Linked DNA regions of Caenorhabditis elegans. The protein of the gene in region 1 interacts with the protein of each later gene in a biochemical or structural test. Each region holds a gene or a part of one and is shown on either strand. Other genes may lie near its edges.

Region 1 (3,930 bases):
TCTATCATATAAAACAAACTCTACTCCACCTATAAGACCGTGTACGCACAATTCCATGAAGAATTATTTGCGGTAAAACAATGACATATTTAATAGATACGTCATTTCAAATACCAAATACCAAACACAAATGCACAATAGTTTCTTATCAAAAAAAGGAAACGTACTGATTTGAGCTTCTCCTTGTGAGTCATACTCGTGTAATTCTTCTGAAGCCAATGAAATTTGATCTTTAACAGTTTTGTGTTGTTTCTCAATCACAACCAAATCTGCGTTCAATTGTTTCATATTTTCTGACATTTTATCTCTCCATGCTTCTGGTGTTAGTGCACTTTGCATATCTTCCATTAGTTTTTCCTCTTGTTTTTTGAGTGTATCCAATGTTTCTTGTAGTTGGATTGCCTTCTTTTTCAGTGGATTACTTCGAATTTCAATTTCATATTTTGAAATTCTATCATCTAAATCTTCATTTTTCGCTTCCATTTCTACAACTCTTTCTCTTAAAAGCTTCGCTTCAGACTTTAAATCTTCATATTTTTCTTTCATTTGAGGATCCATTGCATGTGTTACTGCTTCATTTAACTTTTTTTGTTCTTCAACTTCTATTTCCAATCCTTGAAGTTCCTCTTCTTTTGCACGACGTTCATTAAATACTTCTTCAGCTAATGATCTCATCTATAATTATATAAATTATAACTTAAAGTGATCTTTCATCTACAGTAATCTAACCTCATCAGCTTGTTCCTTCATTTTGCTTGCTTCTAACTCAATATCCGACATATCGCCATTCAAATGAATTTTTTCCATTATTTTATTCAAATCCAATAATTTTCCTTGCAAATCACTAATCTCTTGTGCTTGAGCAGATGCTCTTGATTCATATGCATGTAGCTCATTTCGATCTTTTATTCCTTTATCTCGTTTCTCTTTCATACGAGATATTTCAACTTTTATAGCGTTTTGTTTCGCTCGAAGAACTCCGATGTAGTATGATTTGTCAAATACTTGACGGGAGTCTGGAAAATGTTTGATTAAAATTTAGAATGGAGTCTAGAATATACATACTTCCAGTTCCCATTCTTGACGGAGGAGCTCGTAATCCTTGTTGAGTAACTGGTCTCAATCCGGCTGTTGGAGGTCTTGCCATTCCAGTCATTGGGCGTCCACCCATCTGGAAATGTATTAAAAATTTTGAAAAATATGTATTTACTATTGTGCTATCTAAATCTCAATTAAAATTAAAGTTCAGTCAGTGTTGTTTTTAGAAATTTATTTTGGAAATCTATTTCCGATAGGTAGATTTTCTTGATGCTTTATAGCTATACTTACAGAAGTAGGTGCTCTTGGAGGTCCCCCAGCTCTTGACACAGGCATCGGTGCAGGAGGTCCACCAGATCTAGACGGAGGTACTGGAATCATACCACTTCGTGATGGAGGAACAGGAGGCCCTCCGTTTCTCATTGACATTCCAGTCGTTGGACGATTTTCGTATGTTGGTTGTGGTGGAGGAGCTACAAATTTTATTTTAGGTAACGAAAATTATTATTTTTCTACATAGATTTGGTAAGAAAAATACAATTTCCCTATTACCTCTCATTGCAGATGGAGGTCTAGCCCGTGCCGACGGTGCTCTTCCGGTGGAGGTTCGAGGACGAGAAGATGCAGTTGATGGGCGTTCCATTCTTCTTATTTTTCAGATGAATACCTCTTTTGTGTGAATAGAAGCGATTAGAATAACGTATTTGTGGTTGATGCGTGTTTAGTTGTCATAGAAACAAGCACACTCCAGCTATGGAATATGTGAGAAAGTGCGCTCTAGAATACGAACACCGTTTCCATGGAAACATGTAATATTTTTATTGAACCCACATAGTTGAAAGAAATTATTAACTTGGAAAGACCATTCTGGTTTGTCAGCAATTCCAGATAAATCTCCATGTCCTACACCAGCAGCTACCGTTATAACTTTATAACCTTGATCTCTCAAAGTCTTAAGATAGAGTAATGTCATTCCATTGTTATCATCAACACTGAAATATATATTTGAAGACGGCGTGTAATATAAATAATCTTACTGGTATCCAACGACAATGGTAACAGTATTTGTTCCGTCCGGATAACTCTCGCTAAGCCACTTGAGACCACTGAAAAAAGTTAAACAATTTTGTTTATCGAAAAATGTATATCTTACTCTGAAATTGTAGTGTCTGTCGATAAGACAGCATTGGTGGAAAGAGTATCAATATTACTCTGAAGATCAGATATACTTCTGAAAAATTAAAGTTTTTGATTAATTAAGGAATTTAATGAAAACTTACTTTGCTTTTTATTTATGTTTTTTTTTGGTGTCGTGTATAAAATAATCGACGCAATAAAAGATGATTTCCTGCAAAATTTCCAAGTTTAGAGAAACCTTTAGCGACACATTTAAACCAATCAAGCGCTCTGTTATAGGTAATATATTTATTTCTGAAAGAAATGGGTAAACTTGCACAGTAAGGAAAGATATCAGTGGGGAGATGATTATTTCAAGTTGCAAAGAATAGATGAGATCTGATCAGCAATATTTTGTCCATTTGAATCGTTTACTTGGAAATACCATTCTTGTTTATCCGGAATTAGGGAAAAATCTCCATGACCTTCACCAACAGCTACCGAAATCACTTTATATCCTTGTGCTCTGAGGTCTCGAAGAGTGAATGTAGTCATTGCGGGGTTTTCATCATCGCTGAAATTGTAGATTGATAAAAAATTTGAAAATTCACAAATCTTACTGGTTTCCAACAATAATGATAACTGCATTTGTTCCAGCTGGATCTCTATTAGCATGAAGCCATTGAAGCCCGCTGCAAATACATTAATCAATCAGAACTTTGATAAATGTTTTACTCACTCGGAAATTGTGGAATCCATCATCAAAATAGCACTATCTAATAAATCAGATATGTTGTCTTGAAGATTCGTTAAACTCCTGAAATATTTGCCGTGCTATGTTATTTGAACAAAAACAAAAATAAATTAAACATACTTTGCCCCACCATATTGTAAAAATTTATTGGTAGGATAACTGTCGGTTTGTCCATATGGTACATTGATTGCTTGTGTAGTTGAAGTAAAATCATAGTTGACTGAGTTGTACAAATTATTGGTCACAAAGTTTACAACATTCTGGAAATTTAAAACTTAAAAATTGGCAAAACGATTGTTCTTACCGTCGCACTGTTTGCACTCAATTCAAAAACAGTTGCAATCTTTCCACTGTACGGAGAAGCACATGTTGGAGCTTGGGAAGTGGATGAGACAATGTTAGATGTACTGGATGCTACTGTTGATGCAACACTACTGCTTTGAGAATTTACAGTAGTTGACCCAGTGTTCCCTTCAGTTGAGGATCCTTGTGTTACAGTAGTAGCTACAGTGGTCGATCCAGTGTTTGAATTTGTTTGAGTTGAAGATGATCCCTGCGTACTTGCAATTGTTGGTCCACTGGTAGATGATCCTGGGTTTGCTGTAGTTGATGATGCAATCGGTTGAGTTGATGATGATGCAGAAGTGCTTGAAAATGCCGATGGCTGAGTTACAGTTGATCCTGTAGATCCAGTATTAGGATTTGTTTGAGTTGAGGACGATCCTTGGGTAGTTACTACTGTTGTTCCACTGGTAGATGATCCTGGGTTTGCTGTTGATGATGCGATCGGCTGAGTTGATGATGATCCAGATGTGCTTGAAGATACTGGAGGGTTAGTTACAGTTGATCCAGTAGATCCAGTATTAGAATTTGTTTGAGTTGAAGAAGATCCTTGGGTAGTGACCGCTGTTTGCCCGCTGGTAGATGATCCTGGGTTTGCTGTGGATGATGCGATTGGCTCAGTTGATGATGCACCATAAGTACTTGAAGAGGCCAGCTGGTTAGTTACAGTTGAACCAGTT
Region 2 (3,930 bases), on another chromosome or scaffold:
AAAAACAAACAGCGTTTTCTGTCTGTAATGTGATCGGAAATGAGCATTAGGTTTCGGAAACTCGATAATCACGTGGTGAAAGTAAAAAACTCCTAAGCTTGAAACTTGGAAAACGAGATTGGCCTTAAAAGGTAAAATAGAAATAAAAATATCCTCATAAACTTTTGATCTACGCGTTGAAGGCAAAAAAAAAACTAGATTTCCGGTTTGAACCACAAACCACGCGACATTGCATCATCACATCCGTTCCGAAAAAGGGTTCTTACGTATTTTCAATAAAAACTCACAAGTTTATGAAAGTGGATAGATTGGTCATAGTCTCCAAGGCAATAATAAGTATTTCCTAAGCTGCCGTAGCATCGCCCCATCGTCAGCGCATCTTCCGATTTTTCCGACATCTCCAGATTTAGCCTGCAAATTTTAAAATCTTTATTAGGAAGATTGAAGTAATGAACTCACATAAAGTACTTGGCAGCATTCTCAAAATCCGAAGTGGCTTCTGCATTTTTGGCGTCATTTTTCTCTTCAGCAGCTTCCAGTTTTGTGCATCGCCCTCGCTCCACATAAATCGTCGCAATGTTGTAATAAGCTCGAGATTTGAGAACCTGAATTTTTTAAATGGAAAGTGTAAATTATCTGAATGCAATTAGGAGTTTCATTCTTGAATAATTGCGTTGTGCCTTATTTTGAAAAGCTGAAATATTTCATAGCAATATTCACAGCTGCTTCTAACAAGTTTCTAGGCAAGCATTCTGGAATCTTTTGGAATATACATTTTTATTTGAAAACATCTGAAACTTTTTCACCCAACTCGATCGAGAAATGTTTCAAGCTTCCAGAATGTTTGCATACCTGTAAACTTTCCGAAAACCACTAGAAGTTCGCAAAAATCAACATTGGATGCAATTTCACAGCTCTATTAAATATTGATCCTTTTCAGATGGTTTTTATGGTAGTTCAACGTGCTCTTCTGCCGCTAAATTTTTTGTGGTAACCTAGTTTGCAGGTCCCCTTTCAAATGACATAGATTTCATTCAGAAGTCTCATTGTAGGCTGAAATACTTTCCTTGTAACTATGGTTTATGTTGGAAACTTCGAAGAAAATTTAAGATGGAACTTTGTACATGTTTGCTAGCACGAAAATAATAAATCTCCTGTTGGTATAGCAACGGGTGCATTTTTTTTTCAAGTACAAAATCAAGTTCTACTCACTCTATCGCCCAACTCTTCGGCAAAATCCAGCTGTTTGAATGTGAAGGTGAGCGCGTCGTTGTAAGCGCCTTTCATCTTGAATATATTTCCCAAGTTGGCACACGACTTTGCTTCTCCCTCCTTGTTTCCAAGCAATCTGAAATTTTGTTTATTTTTTGTTTAAATTTCTTTCGCATTCGTTACCTTTCAACAAGAATGTCATACGTATGGAACTTGAGAGCTTGCTCATAATCTTTAAGCATTGTGTGTGCATTTCCGAGCTGACAATAGATAGCCGAGAGTAATGAAAAATCATCTGTGCCTACTTCCAACGCTTTTTTCAACAAGTCGATGCCTGAAATATTCAAATTCAATCAATTATTTACAAATAATAATAAAAAAGAAGTTACCTTTCTCATACTTTTGCATGCGAAAAAGACGTTCCCCTTCCTGTGTGAGCTTGTAGCAGGAACGGTCCTGCATCGCACCTTTCCCCGCTGCAAAAAAAAAATCGATTGATATTCTTCGATGACAAAGATTTCAGAAATCTGCACAATACTAGAAAAAAGGAGAGAAACACAAGCGATTAAGATTGAGAAAGAAGAATCGAAATGTGGTCTTTCAGAACAGAAAGGGTGGTCAATGTAGAAAAAAAGGTATTTGAATGATTTATTCGAACGAGTACGGACCAACAAACTCCTCTGTTTGTTCGTTGCACGGCCGCTCTCAGTACATGGAAAGAAACGTCCTTGCTATGTCTGCGGCAGCTCTCTCGTTCACTCCTCACGACAGATGAGCTAGTAACCGCGCGTTGACGTCATTTGTGTAAAGACGGCTAGGAAGTATTGTTTCGAGCAAAATATTTGTTAATTTAAAATGACAAAGGAATATAAACTGATAGTCTTAAAAGATACATTACTCAAAAAAAAACTCTCATATGAAAAATATAAATTATTACCTTAGAGTATCAAAAGTTCACATTTAATTACCACTCACTCAAAACAAATCTCTAACCACAGTTAATTACCAACAAACTGATTCAACTTGTTCAACTTCTGTTCCCTTTTCAATACTACTTGAAACATTTCACACTCACATAGCAAAGAGCCCAGCAACAACATATATTTACGTCGTGTTGCCCTGGTAACCGGGAGCGCTGCTCGACGAGCTCGCGTTTATTGTCATCACTAACGGTGTATCCTTAAGATGTCGAACGATATTCAAGGGTTTATTCTCCACTTTTTGAATGAAGAGCCGTTCAATCTCAACTTATCATCACTTCAATTCGACCAATTACCACCGCAGCAGTTGCTCCAAATTTTGAGTAATGTTTTGAGGTTGGTTAAGTCAAAAAAAGAAATTTAAAAAATGCGATATCGAGAAAAAACAGTTATGGTGTTTAAAATATTCACAAAAATTTTCCAGAAACGTGTGCTACATTTTTTGTGACAATTAAAAAACAGCTACTTTATTATTATTGTATCGTTATTTTTTCAAGAATTTTTCAAAGAAATATAAATAAATTTTTTTAATTTCTAAAAATAGCTTTACCTTTAATTGTACTTTTGGATGTTGCTCAAAAAAAGGCACAAAGTTACAATGTGCGTGTTAAATTTGCTGGTTGGCAAACTGATACTAATGTCAGTTTTTGAGCAATCTTCTTAAACTTTCTATTGAAAGTAATTATTTTATAGATTGCTGTGTAAATTTAAAAAAAATTTGACACAACAATAAAGAAAAGGGGTATCAGCAGGTCCACTTGGGTAGAATGTTCAAAAAATTCGGTTCTTTCTTATTTGTTTGCAAAATTTCAAAAGTCATAAAAAAATTAAGAAAAATTTGAATAAATTTTTTACAAACACATAAATGCTCTCACTGATAAAATTGAATTTAATAATATAAGAACAACGAAAATTTTTAAAATGTTCAGCTGGGTTTCCGACACGGACCGAATTGATATCAAAAGAGAGGCTGCTGAAGAGACTGCAATTCGTATTCTGAATATGCTCCGAATTCTCCGCTACAGACCACCGCAAGACCAGGATGAACAGTTCGTGCAAAACGAGGGCAATCACTAAACAGCATCTAATTTGACATTATATTACAGGGAAGAATGGCGTGCAGGGATTGTCGAAGGTCGCAAGACTAGCCTCTATCCTCTTCTGGTTTTTCTTTTTGAAAACTCAGAAGGTTTGAAAGAGCGCGCATATTTGTCAAAATATTTGATGAAGGTAATGAATTGCTATGCCAAAAGCCGACATGTTATGCTAGTGGTTTCTGGGGGGAGAGAAATAGATGTTGTCATTATTTTTTTTAAAAGAAAAATGATACATAGAGAACAAGCATCGTTCTGCTTGAATAGCTGATATAGTAGGCAAGACAGCCGAAGTTTTTGGTTTAGTTAGTCTCTGATCTAGGTACACATTGAATTAATGAATCAAGAAATGGCTAAACAGCTTCGCACTTTTTTGTAATTGGAAATACGTAAATTAATTATTTTCAGACAGATGTACCTGGAGAATTCTTCGATTATGATATTGAAGAGCTGCAAAATGAGATTGGAGAGTTGACAATGGAGTTTAAGGTTAATCACATGAGAGATTAGTCGTCACGATAGTGGATGAGCAAAAAAAAAGCAAAAACAAAAAAAAACAAAACAACTTTTCTACAGGAAATCCATGCTGAAATGAAAGGAATAATGGCAGACGTACTCTTGCTTGATGACATAAAAGAGGATTT

What was found.
Region 2: the proteins of ift-74 (region 1) and ift-81 form a complex in vitro, tested with the Caenorhabditis elegans proteins (one study listed by BioGRID).

The regions. Positions count from the first base shown.
Region 1 is NC_003280.10:6,677,885-6,681,814, reverse strand, and holds the start of ift-74 (Intraflagellar transport protein 74 homolog), read right to left. Parts: upstream 1,760-3,930; 5' UTR 1,682-1,759; coding exon 1,591-1,681; intron 1,512-1,590; coding exon 1,330-1,511; intron 1,172-1,329; coding exon 1,066-1,171; intron 1,017-1,065; coding exon 730-1,016; intron 676-729; coding exon 168-675; intron 1-167. Other genes in the region: H43E16.1 (VWFA domain-containing protein), read right to left, coding at 2,524-2,728, 2,775-2,846, 2,894-2,971, 3,029-3,168, 3,213-3,930.
Region 2 is NC_003284.9:5,296,353-5,300,282, forward strand, and holds the start of ift-81 (Intraflagellar transport protein 81 homolog), read left to right. Parts: upstream 1-2,208; 5' UTR 2,209-2,279; intron 2,280-2,312; 5' UTR 2,313-2,343; intron 2,344-2,374; 5' UTR 2,375-2,397; coding exon 2,398-2,528; intron 2,529-3,121; coding exon 3,122-3,241; intron 3,242-3,298; coding exon 3,299-3,422; intron 3,423-3,694; coding exon 3,695-3,775; intron 3,776-3,862; coding exon 3,863-3,930. Other genes in the region: ags-3 (Tetratricopeptide repeat protein 28), read right to left, coding at 288-411, 460-605, 1,213-1,348, 1,396-1,546, 1,602-1,674.